Macaca fascicularis: one gene and its partners. The protein of the gene in region 2 interacts with the protein of the main gene of each other region in a biochemical or structural test. Links are inferred from orthologs where the notes say so. Each region holds a gene or a part of one and is shown on either strand. Other genes may lie near its edges. The genes, in order: CS, CRYAB, SNCA and CRYBA1.

What was found.
Region 1: the proteins of CRYAB (region 2) and CS form a complex in vitro, tested with the Homo sapiens proteins (3 studies listed by BioGRID). The link is inferred for Macaca fascicularis from reciprocal best matches to the Homo sapiens genes CRYAB and CS.
Region 3: the proteins of CRYAB (region 2) and SNCA form a complex in vitro, tested with the Homo sapiens proteins (4 studies listed by BioGRID, with this or other methods). The link is inferred for Macaca fascicularis from reciprocal best matches to the Homo sapiens genes CRYAB and SNCA.
Region 4: the proteins of CRYAB (region 2) and CRYBA1 form a complex in vitro, tested with the Homo sapiens proteins (2 studies listed by BioGRID and IntAct, with this or other methods). The link is inferred for Macaca fascicularis from reciprocal best matches to the Homo sapiens genes CRYAB and CRYBA1.

The regions. Positions count from the first base shown.
Region 1 is NC_088385.1:63,075,218-63,078,784, forward strand, and holds part of CS (citrate synthase, mitochondrial), read right to left. Parts: intron 807-3,567; coding exon 607-806; intron 1-606. UniProt on the Homo sapiens protein: Key enzyme of the Krebs tricarboxylic acid cycle which catalyzes the synthesis of citrate from acetyl coenzyme A and oxaloacetate.
Region 2 is NC_088388.1:110,836,539-110,840,612, reverse strand, and holds the start of CRYAB (alpha-crystallin B chain), read left to right. Parts: upstream 1-1,248; 5' UTR 1,249-1,294; coding exon 1,295-1,495; intron 1,496-2,285; exon of another isoform or gene 2,286-2,354; intron 2,355-2,576; coding exon 2,577-2,699; intron 2,700-4,033; coding exon 4,034-4,074. Other genes in the region: HSPB2 (heat shock protein beta-2), read right to left, coding at 96-189. UniProt on the Homo sapiens protein: May contribute to the transparency and refractive index of the lens. Has chaperone-like activity, preventing aggregation of various proteins under a wide range of stress conditions.
Region 3 is NC_088379.1:95,268,924-95,273,127, forward strand, and holds the end of SNCA (alpha-synuclein), read right to left. Parts: intron 3,820-4,204; coding exon 3,736-3,819; intron 1,169-3,735; exon of another isoform or gene 1,167-1,168; coding exon 1,134-1,166; 3' UTR 558-1,133; downstream 1-557. UniProt on the Homo sapiens protein: Neuronal protein that plays several roles in synaptic activity such as regulation of synaptic vesicle trafficking and subsequent neurotransmitter release.
Region 4 is NC_088390.1:34,738,855-34,742,179, reverse strand, and holds the end of CRYBA1 (beta-crystallin A3), read right to left. Parts: intron 2,922-3,325; coding exon 2,780-2,921; intron 1,339-2,779; coding exon 1,196-1,338; intron 781-1,195; coding exon 633-780; 3' UTR 501-632; downstream 1-500. UniProt on the Homo sapiens protein: Crystallins are the dominant structural components of the vertebrate eye lens.

The DNA of each region.
Region 1 (3,567 bases), on a different chromosome or scaffold from region 2:
CATGGTGAAACCCCATCTCTGCTAAAAATACAAAAATTAGCTGGGCATCATGGCACACACCTGTAGTCCCAGCTACTTGGGAGGCTGAGGCAGGAGAATCACTTGAACCTGGAAGTGGAGGTTGCAGTGAGCCAAGATTGCGCCACTGCACTCCAACCTGGCGACAGAGCAAGATTCCACCTCAAAAACAACAACAACAACAACAAACATCCTAATCTCATTACCAGCTTTTGTTCACTCATCCACAGCTGGAGAGGTTACTGGCTGATGATGCCTGTATGCTCTGCTCCATGACTCCAACCTAGGTTTAATAGCAATGGCCCGAAGAGGGAGCTCCTGGAAAGCCGAAGGACTATCTAATGTGAGCAGCTAGTACCTTTTCCCAGCCAGAAGCACCATCTTATTCTCAGCATGGTTATGGTAATTTCTTTAGGCCTCTTGACCTTCCTTACTAGACCCTTTTCTTGCCTTGTATCATCCTTGATGCCACATTTCTGTCTTCTTGCTGCCTATCATCTGTTCTCAGAAGATGAGAACATAAAGGAGCTTTTAAAAAAATTTCCCAGTTGAGGCTCCTAGCGGCTGTGGTTGCTGGGTCTAGCTTACCTGTGGATGGTGAGGTACAGGCGCATGAGCTCAGTGAACTGAGACTCAGTATAGCCTAACATGTTGGTGAAATTGTGGGACCAGTCCAGATTAGAGTCAATGGCCCCAATACCGCTGCCTTCTCTGTAGAGATTTCGGTAGATCTTTGCTGCAATACAAGGTAGCTTTGCGATTAAATCCATAGAGTCTTCATAAATCAACTGACAGAAGAGGAGCAAGATGGAGAAAAAAAAAGGAATTATCAGCAAAGAAGAATTAGACAGGGATATTGTCTGTCCTCCATGAATTGGGGCTATTTGGGGTGATGGTCAGTTATATGATGGGTTGTTATATATTGAGTATGTCTGAAAGTAGAGAAAAATCATAACCATTTAATTGAATAACTATTATGACCCAGGCACTAAGTGATTTGTAATACTATCTAGTGTACACTAAAACATTATTCCCAATGCTTACTACTACAAAGTATATAATGACTGCCGTTTTAAAGATGAGCAAACTAAGGCTCATAGTATTAGGTTAAATGCCAAAGTCAGGTTTGAACTCTGATATGGTTTTTTGAGATGGAGTTTCACTCGTTACCCGGGTTGGAGTGCAATGGTGCAATCTTAGCTCACTGCAACCTCCACCTCCCAAGTTCAAGTGATTCTCCTGCCTCAGCCTCCCAAGTAGCTGGGATTACAGGCATGTGCCACCACGCCCAGCTAATTTTGTATTTTTAGTAGAGACGGGGTTTCTCCATGTTGGTTAGCCTAGTCTAGAAACTCCTGAACTCAGGTGATCTGCCTCCCTTGGCCTCCCAAAGTGCTCGGATTACAGGTGTGAGCCACCATGCCTGGCCCTCTGATATGTTTAATCATGATCTTTTTCACTACACCATGACTTTACATTCACTGTGTTAAGACACTAGGTTTTATAGCCAGGTATGGTGGCTCACGCCTATAATGCCAGCACTTTGGAAGCCTGAGGCTCGCAGATCACTTAAGGTCAGGAGTTCAAGACCAGCTTGGCCAACATGGTGAAACCCTGTCTCTTCTAAAAATACAAAACATGAGACAGGCATGGTACGGGCAGGCACCTATAATCCAGCTACTCCAGAGACTGAGGCAGGAAAATTGCTTGAACCCGGGAGGTGGAAGTTGTAGTGAGCCGAGATCGCGCCACTGTACTTCAGCCTGGACCACAGAGCGAGACTGTCTCAAAAAAAAAAAAAAAAAAAAAAAAGGCCAGGCACGGTGGCTTACGCCTGTAATCCCAGCACTTTGGGAGGCCAAGGCGAGCAGATTACGAGGTCAGGAGATCGAGACCATCCTGGCTAACACGGTGAAACCCCGTCTCTACTAAAAATACAAAAAATTAGCCGGGTGTGTTGGCAGGTGCCTGCAGTCCCAGCTACTCGGGAGGCTGAGCCAGGAGAATGGCCTGAACCTGGGAGGTGGAGCTTGCAGTGAGCAGAGATCGTGCCACTGCACTCCAGCCTGGGTGACAGAGCGAGACTCCATCTCAAAAGAAACAAAACAAAACAAAACAAAAAACCACTAGGTTTTAATAATGAATTCTATATTCCATCTTTCAAAGAAAATTCACTGTATATGCCAAGGATCAAACAGTGATATTCAATTGTTATTTAATAACAAAGGCTTCCTTTTATTTTTTTTGGAGATGGAGTCTTGCTCTATCGCCCACGCTGGAGTGCAGTGGTGTGATCCTGGCTCACCACAACCTCCACTTCGCGGGTTCAAGCGATTCTCCTGCCTCAGCCTCCTGAGTAGCTGCGATTACAGGATGTGCCACTATGCCCGGCTTAATTTTGCATTTTTAGTAGAGGGGGGTTTCACCATGTTGGTCAGGCTAGTCTCACACTCCTGACCTCAGGTGATCCGCCCGCCTTGGCCGCTCAAAGTTCTGGGATTACAGGCGCGAGCCACCGCGCCCGGTGAGGCTTCCATTCTTTAAGCACTTACTATGCAACAGGTACTGTGCTAGTTATATTATTTGCAGTATTACCTTTTCTGTTCTTACAATAATCCTGTAAGGTTACATATACCTCTTTTTATAGATGAGGAAATCGGGGCTTAGCTAAGTTACCTTGTACAAGGTCACCCATGTAGCCAAGAAGCATTACCTAGCTTACATTATTAACTCATATCACATTTAGTTTTTGAGACGGAGTCCTGCCCTGTCGCCCACGCTGGAGTCCTATGGCACGATCTCAGCTCACTGTAACCTTCACCTCCTGGGTTCAAGCAATTCTTGTGCCTTGGCCTTCTGAGTAGCTGGGATTACAGGTGTGCACCACCATGCCTGGCTAATTTTTTGTATCTTTAGTAGAGACAGGGTTTCACCATATTGGTGAGGCTGGTCTCGATCTCCTGACCTCAGGTGATCCACCGCACCCGGCCCATGCCACTTTTTAAAAAGTTGATAAACAGGCCAAGCATGGTGGCTCACGCCTGTAATCCCAGAACTTTGGGAGGCTGAGGCGTGCGGATCACGAGGTCAACAGATCGAGATCATCCTGGCCAATAAGGCAAAACCCTGTGTCTACTAAAAATACAAAAATTAGCTGGGCGTGGTGGTGTGCACCTGTAGTCCTAGCTACTCAGGAGGCCAAGGCAGGAAAATTGCTTGAACCCAGGAGGCGGAGGTTGCAGTATGCTGAGGTCATGCCACTGCACTGCAGCCTGAACGACAGAGTGAGACTCTGTCTCAAAAAAAAAAGAAGTTGGTAAATAAAAAGCGTATATTTTTGGTTTGTTTTATTTTGAGACAAAGTATTTTGAGACAGAGTCTCGCTCTATCACCCAGGCTGGAGTGCAGTGGTGCTATGTTGGCTCACTGCAACCTCTGCCTCCCAGGTTCAAGCGATTCTCCCACCTCAGCTTCCCGAGTAGTTGGGATTACAGGTGTGCACCACCACGCCCAGCTAATTTTTGTATTTTTTTGTAGAGATGGGGTTTC
Region 2 (4,074 bases):
GCCCAGAGTGGGGTGGAGGCCAGTAACGTTGGGAGGTCAGCCCAGAATTTCAGGGGGTGGGGGTGGGAGGCAAGGGGGTGGCATCTGTGCCATACCTTCTCCGAAGCGCTGCTCACCCAGGCGGCTCGGGTTGGCAAATTCGTACTCAGCGGTGGCTGGGTGGGCATGTGGCACTGAGCGGCCCGACATGGCTGCAGATGCAGCGGGAGCCCTGGTCCGAGGTGCAGCCCCAACAGGCGCAGCGCGACCCCTCCAGCTGCCCGGAGAGCCAGGGCTCGATAGGAGGTGGGGGCGGGGTCGACACCACCCAAAATAGTGCCGAGCCTCTGGGGGGGAGGGGCGGGGAGTGGGGGCCCTGAGTGAGAGCAACGAGGGTGTGACCAGCGCCGCCTGGACCCCTAGTCCCCTCCCCCGCACACTCTTCAGCTGTCGCAGGGGGCCTGAGAGGACAGCTGAGGGTCCTGGTTAGGAACGAGCTGAGAAGGGGGAGCTGGTGGTGCCTGGGGCATGAAGAGGCCTCGCTGAAACCCTCACAAACGGTTTGCACGTTTCCACACCTCATTTTCTCCTCCTTGGAGGCCGGCACTGTGCACCCAATTCCTAAAGCACTCCTGGATTTAATGTTCTGAGAGCCACATAGGATGAAAGATGCAAGAAATCTTTCTGCTCTTTTTTTCAGGGAGTGGGGTCTTTCTGCCCAGATGTCGGAGTCCTCTCCTAAACCCAGGTCAACCCAGGGCAGGAGGCAGATGGCTGGTACCCGCATGTTGACCATCACTGCTCTCTTCCAAGGACTCACAAAGAGTTAATGTCCCTGGGGCCCAGCCTAGGAAGATTCCAGTCCCTGCCCAGGCCCAAGATAGTTGCTGGCCTGATTCCCCTGGCATTCAGGACTGAAGAGGAGGAGGAGGAGGGGCACACTCCACCGCCTGCCCCTCCACCCACCCGCGTGCCTGCTTGGGATTCCTGACTCTGTACCAGCTTCAGAGAACTGGGGTGGGGGTGGGTGCCACTGGGTGTGTACAGAAAGCTAGTGAAACAAGACCATGACAAGTCACTGGCCGGCTCAGACGTGTTTGTGTTTCTCTTTTCTTAGCTCAGTGAGTACTGGGTATGTGTCACACTGCCAAATCCCCGATCACAAGTCTCCATGAACCGGCGGTGAGCTAGGATAATAAAACCCCTGACATCACCATTCCAGAAGCTTCACAAGACTGCATATATAAGGGGCTGGCTGTAGCTGCAGCTGAAGGAGCTGACCAGCCAGCTGACCCCCCACACTCACCTAGCCACCATGGACATCGCCATCCACCACCCCTGGATCCGCCGCCCCTTCTTTCCTTTCCACTCCCCCAGCCGCCTCTTTGACCAGTTCTTTGGAGAGCACCTGTTGGAGTCTGATCTTTTCCCGACGTCTACTTCCCTGAGCCCCTTCTACCTTCGGCCACCCTCCTTCCTGCGGGCACCCAGCTGGTTTGACACTGGACTCTCAGAGGTGAGTCTCCCCACTGCTAGAATGGGAGAGTCCTTACTGGAACCTCCTGTAAACTTCTCCATCCATTTTCCTCTCCTTTCCTGCCTAAACCATTTTAGGCACATGTGTATCCAAATGTGAAGAAAAATGAGGAGGTTGCTAGTTCCTCCCTCCCCCGTCACCTGTTTCTACTTGATGGTCCTCTGTATCCCATTTATTACATTTTTTTCATGCACTGTCAAGTTCATCCTCCATCCCCTAACTTCTCTGCAGGGTACCCCTTTCTGGTTTGGTTCATAACAATCTGCAGGGAAAGAGCTGCCTTCAAACTCCTTTGCTCATCTCTTCTAACACCATGGACTCTTGACCAATTTTACCATCTCAGGTGTCAGAGCCAGGAGAGAGCCCTGCCTCACCCTGCCTGAGCTGTTCACCCTCATGGGCATTTTCTGCCTTTTTATTCCCTCTTCTGTGATTTTCTGGGTTTCTCAGGGCTGTGACAGGGCATTGGCCTGGGTCCAACCAAGCCTTATGAGGAAACAATATAGGGACCCCCACTCGTCCTAAGAGGGTGAGAGAACAGGGTGAACATATAAGGTTGACAGAAGCTGTCACAGATAACGCTCTGGTTTAAAAATATTCGAGTGTGAGTAAACAGGAGATGAGTGGGCAAGGGCTTTGGAAGGACAAGCAGGACCAGCAGAACATTCCAGATTGGGTGGGTGGAAAACTGGCAAAGAGACCTGAGCCAGAAGAAGAGGCCTTTGTCTCACAGACAAACCACAAAGCCAGGCATCGGAGCCAGAGAGGCAGCAGATGCCAGGCCTGCACCCATCCTTGCGACTGGTCCCCTGGGTGATCTGTCTTCTTCTCTGTCCCTGTAAATAAAGTTTGGGTCGGATCACCATGAGCCTTAGGTATCACTGTGGTGGCTCCCTGAAGCAGAGAGCCATGTTTATTTAAAAAGGGGATATTTTAAAGCAGAAAAGAGAAGGATGAATTACCTGGACAGAAAGCAACTCTGCAGAATAAGACAACACCAGTATAATGAGTACTTTCGCCATCTTTCTCCCGTCCCATTCCCTTACCTTGCTATTTCTAGATGCGCCTGGAGAAGGACAGGTTCTCTGTCAACCTGGATGTGAAGCACTTCTCCCCAGAGGAACTCAAAGTTAAGGTGTTGGGAGATGTGATTGAGGTGCATGGCAAACATGAAGAGCGCCAGGTATGTAGCTTGGTTTTTGTTTTCTGCTCATTCATTCAGTGTATACTGTAATAGTCCAGGTAGTGCTATCAGCTTTGGAGGCTGGCTACATTCCAGTCCCAAGCTATAATAGTCTAGATCAGGGGTTACAAATCAATGTCTAGAAGACTAAGTTAGGGATAGACCTATTGCTGTTGTTACTGTTGTTATGGCCAGAGATGTGGTCTTTGTTTGATTTGATCGCCTTAGATGGGATGATGGGATGTTGATGCCCCATCTTAGCCAGAGGTTCTGAATCTTGGCCACATTAGAATCACCAGGGGAACTTTCAAAAAACCTAATGCTCAGGCATACTCCAGACCAATTAAATCAGAATTTTTAGGGGTGGGACCCAGGGCATCAACATTTTTTAAGGTAATTCTAATCTACAGTCAAGGTTGAGGACCACTGATTTAGGTATAGGGCTGTCAGACACCTAGTTGCTTTGCATAATTACATTAACTACAGGTACCCTAAAGGCACTTGAGTTGTGAATTCTCTGTTAGCTGTGCAAGAATCCATGTCTCTTCTTTAGCCCATCTTAATGCTGAACTACTTGGTTTGTCTAAATTTCAGAGCTGTGCTCAGTCTTTAATCCCCTATAGCCCATGCGGAAATCAGTTAATGAGAGCCTGTTTGGCTACATGCTTGAGAGTCAGCAGGCATACGGGTTAAGGTCATCTACTCTTTGGGGGAATTCTGACGAATGGAACAGCTTTTCATGACTTTGTAAGAGGGCTTTAAAATTCCTTCTCACCAATTAACGATAGCTCAGCGATAGCTCAGAACCTGTGCGTCAACCAGTACAGTTTGTCCTTAGTAATGTCCTCAGGCTGTTTCAATTTTGCTCATATGATTTAGGTTTGGGTCATAGTCTCCTTGGATGGAGTCTTTTTTTTTTTTTTCCCCCAGCAGCAGTCCTATTGTTCTGGAACCTTCTGGGACATTCCTGAAGAGTCAGGACAATTTCAGGGCTTCCTCAGGGACTCAGATTCTAAATGAGATTCCAAATTCTGTAGGCCCAGTCAACATTATCTAAACCTTTGGGAAATACTCCTAAACATATCTATGCCTCAGGGTTTGAAAAACAATGAAGTGTTGTACTGTTTCAGACTTCTCAGATTCTCACTGGTAGGAGTGACTACCTAGGTAACTTCATCTTAGCCACAACCCTGAAACAAAGCACTGTTTATTTTTCCTATGTTGTCATGGCATTTGGTCTCACCTAAGGGGAAATCAGGATGCCTGAGTTCTGGGCAGGTGATAGTAGTTCATATTCTTATCTCTCTGCCTCTTTCCTCATTCTTTTGGGTTAGGATGAACATGGTTTCATCTCCAGGGAGTTCCACAGGAAATA
Region 3 (4,204 bases), on a different chromosome or scaffold from region 2:
CCTAGAATTCATATATTTGGCAACATTTAAAAGAGATCATGAAATTTTTATCAGTCTGGAGAACTGATCTTCTTTAAGGTGATCCTGATAGTTCCCAAAGGTGTTTAAAGGCATTTCCTGGAAAAAAGGGGAGCGAGAGAAAAAGGAATAGAGAGAGAGAATTTTTGATGATTTTTTTTTTTTTTAGTGGGGACTGCTGAGTTAAACTAAGTTAACCACATTGTCTCAGAGCCTTGAATGTGCTAATATGTGCTAAAGTGTCTCATGGATCTCTAAGGAGGATGTAGTCAAAATCATCTTTTACACTGCTTCGTTCCCTGGAGCCCACTTTTTTTTTTTTTAATCACAGCCACTTAAGGCACCACAAAACACACCTCTGGCAGTGCTGCTTCAGGGAATTCCCAGTGTAGGGTTAATGTTCATTTTCTCTACCTCTTCTAAAATTCCTCCTTCTTCAAATGCCTATTAATAACTTTATGTCCATTGTGTCAGTTCTCAATGCATGTTGCTTATAAGCAAGATTTTTATTATTAAAGTGAGATGGGATAAAAATAAAATTTTGTTTGCAATGAGACGACATTTTATTTTAATTCTCACCATTTATATACAAACACAAGTTAATAAAACACATCACAAAACGGTAAAATTTCATAGTTAGTATTTATAGGTGCATAGTTTCATGCTCACATATTTTTAAGTATTATATATATTAACAAATTTCACAATACATCATTATTCTTAGACAGTATCATTAAAAGACACCTAAAAATCTTATAATATACGATAGCAAATCACTAACAACTTCTGAACAACAGCAACAAAAAAATAGTGAGGATTTAGAAATAAGTGGTAGTCACTTAGGTGTTTTTAAATTGTTTTAACATCATAGATTGAAGCCACAAAATCCACAGCACACAAAGACCCTGCTACCATGTATTCACTTCAGTGAAAGGGAAGCACCGAAATGCTGAATGGGGGCAGGTACAGATACTTCAATCACTGCTGATGGAAGACTTCAAAATACACTGTAAAAACTTTGAGAAATGTCATGACTGGGCACATTGGAACTGAGCACTTGTACAAGATGGAACGTCTGTCAGCAGATCTCAAGAAACTGGGAGCAAAGATATTTCTTAGGCTTCAGGTTCGTAGTCTTGATACCCTTCCTAATATTAGAAAAATAAAAAAGACAGCACGCACTGTTAGTGTAAGTTTCAATCATGCATCAGCACTGACAGCCAATGAGATAGGAAATGGCTCATCACTTACATTAAAATTTACACTCAATGTTTTTGCAAATATTCTGCAATATACATTATCTTATTTTTAATAGTTGTGTATTTCCTGTCCGATATAGATGTGAATTGTGGTAGTAATCAGTTAAAATATCTAGGTTCTAATCCAGATGTACCATTTAATGATCATATACCTAGTCAGGTAGGACAAATAAGTTGGACTGGCTGATTCTCAGTTTCTTCACCTGTAAAATGTGAGAATAAAATCAAGCGGTCTATAAAGCCTTTTCCAGGGCTAAGACGCTCTAATTCTCAGAAGGAAATTAAGACGTTTGAAGGCGAGGTACATTTTCCCTACTTTCGCTCTCCCACTTGAAAATTTCATCTTCATCTATGGCTTCAATTATTAGTTGTATTTCAGACCCCAAGCTCTCCATACAATATCTGGAAAGCATCCACAATACAAATATTAATGATGTAATTAAAGGGGTCAGATTATTCCTCCTAAAGAGCAACTTTAATAATATCAGGATTCTGCTTAAAAACAAACAAATAAGCATATCTTCAATAACTGAAGTTGTTTTCTGAATAGAACACAAACTTAAATGACAAGATTGTCCTAATACTCTATAATTTGTCTTTGACCCATAGCTGCAGGTTCAATCTATCACCATTTTCCTTGTTCCTAAGCTTGAGTCATAATTATTTACTGTTCTCAGACATATCCATTTGCATTCTCAGACACATATGCCTTTGCTTCTGATATTCCCTTGTGCCAGAACGTCCTCTGTTTGTTTTGCCCTACCATATCTCTTTCCTTTTCCCACCCAGATCAACATTACCTCCTCAATAAAACTACTCCTGATTGATTGAAACAGATCCTTTAAAATGTTATACTTTTTAGTATATCTTGTATATCTTTGCTCCTGTGATGCCTGGTACATAGAAGGCAATCAATAATGTTTGTTAAAGGAAGGAATCATAATGAAGAAATGAATGAATGAATTTCTATTTTTTTCATCAAACCTACCAGACTGTAAACTCCTTATATCCTGGTAATGTCAATTACACTATAGTTTTCTATAGTGTTTGGTACTGTGTCTTGCATAAAAGACCCCAAAATATTGGAAATTCTTATTAGGCAAACAATTTAATCTCAATTTCTATAAATTGAATTATTATTAATATGCTGTGTGTGTGTGTGTGTGTGTGTGTGTGTGTGTGAGTGACAGTCTTGCCCTGTTGCCTAGATTGGAGTTCAGGGGTGCCATCTCAGCTCACTGCAACCTCTGCCTCCTGGGTTCAAGCAACTCTTGTGCCTCAGCCTCCCAAGTAGCTGGAACTATAAGCATGTTCCACCATGCCTGGCTAATTTTTGTATTTTTAGTAGAGATGGGGTTTCACCATGTTGGCCAGACTGGTCTTGAACTCCTGGCCTCAAGTAACCTGGCCACTTTGGCTCACAAAGTGCTGGGATTACAGGTGTGAGCCGCTGCACCCATCCTTGATATGCCTTTTAATAATGCCATGAGGAATAATACATAACCTAACCACAACATATTTGAACTCAATTTTTAATGGAACCATCATACAGTTTCTTTTCTTGTGATATCTTTGTTTGGTTTTGATTATCAGGGTAATATTGGTCTCACGGAATTAGTTGGGAAATGTCTAAATGACTCCTATGTTGTGTAAGAGATATTAATTGGTGTTAACTAATTAGTATTAGTTCTTCCTTAAATGTTTGGTAGAACTTACCAGTGATGCTGTCTCGGCCTGGGATTTTCTTTGCATGCAGGTGTTTTTTTTGTTTTTTTTTTTTTTTTTTTTTTTTTTTTTTTTTTTTACTAATTTAATCATTTAATCACTTCACTGTGTTACAAATCTATACAAATCTATTCAGATTTACTATTTCTTCTTGGGTCAGTTTTTTTCATCTAACAGTATTTTCTAATTTCCCTTTTGATACATTTTCTATTAAAATACTTTTGTTTTCAATAAAAATAAAATTAACAATCATACGTTGTTTAAAATGTTATACTGGAATATATCAATTGTTGCAAATCATACATTTATCTTTTCATTCTATAACTTGTGTGGGTAACTTTTATTTTACTATGCAATCATCCCACTGGAAATGTATGGCAAAAAATAATTACCTTCCTTTGGCATTCCGTTGATTTCCCTAACTTTCCATTTAGAAACTTATTTTAGAATGTATAGTTTCTAAAAATATATTCTCTAATGCAGGAGTTAGTAAACTTTTCCTGTAAAGGGTCAAGTAGTATTTTAAGCTATGTGGACTTAGAATTTGTGTTACATCCTCTCTTCCTCCTCCTCCTCTTTTTTTTTGGACCCTTTAAAAATGTAAAAACCATTCCTAGCTTGAAAGTTGTCCACGTAATGAGCATGTAGAGAGCAAATGATTCTCACTAAGCAAGAGAAATATGACAATGACAGGTTGTTGGTACTGTTAGAAAGATTCAGCTTGGACTCCTACCTCAGAAGGCATTTCATAAGCCTCATTGTCAGGATCCACAGGCATATCTTGTAGAATTCCTTCCTGTGGGGCTCCTTCTTCATTCTAATATTTAAAGTGAGAAGCACAAAAAGAACATGATGAAGTAGCATTTTTCACTTTTAAAAATCAGAACCATGTTTTGGAAAAATCTTACATATAGGGATGTTGGCCAGGGATGTTGAAAACGGCACACTTTAATATAAGTACTGGCATTCTAAACTCTGCAATGCCTTTGGGGAAACATTGCGGCAACATGGGTTACCAGCCCTCAAAGTATGTAAAGTTTTTGCTCAAGTAATTCACTATTTAGGAAATAATCCACAGCTATAGTCCAAAAATATTCTTCACAAGATCAATGACAGCAGGAAACAACATTTTTACAATTGTTAACTAAATGTTCAATGAATAATGAAGAGTTAAAAATTATTGCTGGGTGCTATGGTTCACT
Region 4 (3,325 bases), on a different chromosome or scaffold from region 2:
TACTCAGGAGGTTGAGGCAGGAGGATCACTTGAGCCCAGGAGATCGACACTGTAGTTAAGCCAGATCGCACCACTGCACTCCAGCCTGGGTGACAGACCCTGTCTCAACAACAAAAATTCTCATCCACAGGCCGGGCGTTGGTGGCTCATGCCTGTAATCTCAGCACTTTGGGAGGCCGAGGCGGGAGAATCACCTGAGGTCGGGAGTTCGAGACCAGCCTGACCAACATAGAGAAACCCCATCTCCACTAAAAATACAGTAATTAGCTGGGTGTGGTGGTGCATGCCTGTAATCCCAGCTACTCGGGAGGCTGAGACAGAATCTCTTGAATCCGGGAGGCGGAGGTTGTGGTGAGCCGAGATAGCGCCATTGCACTCCAGCCTGGGCAACAAGAGTGAAACTCCACCTCAGAAAAAAAAAATTCTCATCCACATAGGTGTGATTTATGTGAAGCATGGTAGTTAATTCAGTCTACAAAGTTTTGTTTTGTTTTGTTTTTAATGATGTTTATTGTGGATTTCAGCAGCTAACATTTGAAAGCAATGTCTGTGAGCAGAACATAAAACTCATTCTAGAGTGCTTAGCAAGGTCTCATGCTTGAGGAATTATCGTACTTGGAGCTTTTAATCAGCTACTGTTGGATTCGGCGAATCGATTGGATCTGGGAAGTCTGGGCATGAGATCCCCACTCTCTCCAATGTTTATAGTCTCCTCCGTGATGGTCACATTCCAAGATATACTGATACCCACGATATCCAGGATATTGGTAGCAAACCCAGCTGGGAAATTCAAAGTACATTTCATTATTAAAACTAATTAGGAATCTGGTTAACACCCCAAAATCTGAGCCTCTTTCCTCAACTTAATGGTATGGGATGCTTTTGGTCTTAGAAAAATATAGCTATCCTAAATGTGTCAGGCACTATTTGCAAGCATAATACAGCTACAGCTAGTTGATTAGCCTTAATCATCAAAAGAGGTATAAGTGAACATAAATTCTTCCATAGAGGCATGTCTGGGGGAGATAAATCTGCAACCTTAAGTGGTAGTTGGTATAAAGAACTTGTGATTCAAAATTATGTATAACTAGAATGTGACATCTATACCAATACATATGAAATCTGATTAAAACAACCATTGATGCAACTTCAGGAATTACTTTGAAGTGTATTCCAACCCTGTTTTTGTACTTACGCCCCATTTTGTATCTTCATGGAGCCGACTTCGTTGTTGGGCCAACCCATGGCTTGCAAGGAGGGGTAGTCATCAGAGATCTCCCACTGGCGTCCAATAAAGTTTTCCTTCTCAAAGATGGTCATCTTAGACTCCTTATGATTCTGTAATTCAGAAATTGTTTTAAAATGTTCAGTACTGGTGTATGGCTATCATTCATGTTTTTCAAAATTGAAACACTTTTTTGGATTACACAAGGAAGCATGTGATAATTTATTTTAAAAAGATTAAGGCAACAGATATGTGAGAAAAAAGTTACCCATAATTTTGTTTATTCCAATTTAAATACCATAACATTTGGAATGTACAAATAACTGATACACTATTTTGGAACAATGAAGAGGATTTGACAGTGGGAAAAAGTACTAACAAAATGCAGCCAACCAAGGGATGAATACTCACTAATGTGAAAAAAGATCTCACAAATTAATACAAAAAGTAAGCCCAAATATGTATGTGTGCGCTTGCGTGTGTATGTGTGTTGTTGGAAATAACCTGTATGTCCAGTAGGGGACATGAATACTACACAAGCATTAAAAAGGCAGAGACCAACCTGTATGAACTTCAAAAATGGACAAAACTGTTTGATGATAGAAAGTGGTAGGGGAGCAACTGAGTGGAAAGGGACACCAGGGAACTATGATGGAATGTTCTTTATATGGTTAGAGTGTTGGTTACATGGATCTATATATTTTCAAAACTCATGAGAATATGCACTTAGGATCTGTGCATTTTACTGTAGGTCAGTTATAACTTAGGGTGGAAAAATGAAATGTTTTTTTAAAAGTGAGATTGAAATAATTTCCAGATAGGGAACTATTTGTTTGGATTAGAGCTATTTCGGTTAACTTCTCCATCAGTTGAATTTTGGCAAGACTTTGAACCAAGGTGAGATTATTAACCAAAATCACGAGAAACTCACATATAGACTGAATATTTGGAAAGGTTCTAGCCCAACCTAACTCCTAATACAGGGATTATTTTTCAGCACACCCCTGAAGATCATCCTGCTTTCTGCTTGAACTCTTTCCAAAAAAGACCAGAAACATCCCAGCCTGATGCATTATTGAGTAATACTTAAGTGTTCAGAACAAGAAGATGATTATCAATGAATGTAGATAGATAATGGAAGACTTGCCTATTTTTTAGTCATTCCCACTTACCGAAAGGTTACTTCAGCATTTCCCTGTTTCTGCGGTAAAATGTTGCACAGATTGAAATTTAACTGGCCAAGGATTTGCTTTTTACTACAGGGTAAAGACATTCACTCATTTACTAGTGTTTCACAAGTTTATTGGGCTCTTGAGTATCCACTTATTGCCACCTGTAAGACCCTTAGTTTTAGCTTAAGGGAAATACCACCTGGTGGAGAAAAATCAAATAGCAGGCTTAGAGGAGAAAGTGATGTTTTCTCTTTTTTTTTGCTTTTGTCTTTTTTCCTGCCACATTCAGCATAACTGATGAGAAATAGCATGAACGTCAGTCTGTCCACACCCTCTTGTCCCATCCCTCATATGCACAGAAGTGGAAATTTCAGAGACTCACAGCTGAACAGATGGGGCGGAAGGACATGAGACGCTCAATGTGGTAGGCATTACTCCCACTCCAGGCATCCCAGCGAGGGTATTCTCCTCTCTCCAGGATAAACTGTTGCCCACAGAAGCTGGTATGCTCATAACCAATCCAGCTGCCAAAGACATGTAGTGTTTGTTCATGGTGTTCAAAGCCTATATGGCCTTGGGGAGAAGGCATCTTTCGTTTTAGATAAGTTAATAGTGGGGTAAAATATCAAGCCAATCCCAGTAGAGCTGTACAAAGTAATTTATCACAAGAGGTGAGGAATGAGTTGACAGGTATACTAAGCAGGTTTATGAATGTAATAATTGTTTTGGGATTATCACTGAAAAGGTCTGTCTACGTCACTGGTCTGAGTGAAGTATATTAGCAAAGCCAATCTAAAATTGTATTTCCGGGCTGGGTGTGGTGGCTCACGCCTGTAGTCTCAACACTTCAGGAGGCCAAGGCAAGCAGATCGCTTGAGCCCATGAGTTGGAGACCAGCCTGGGAAACATGGCAAAACCCCGTCTACAA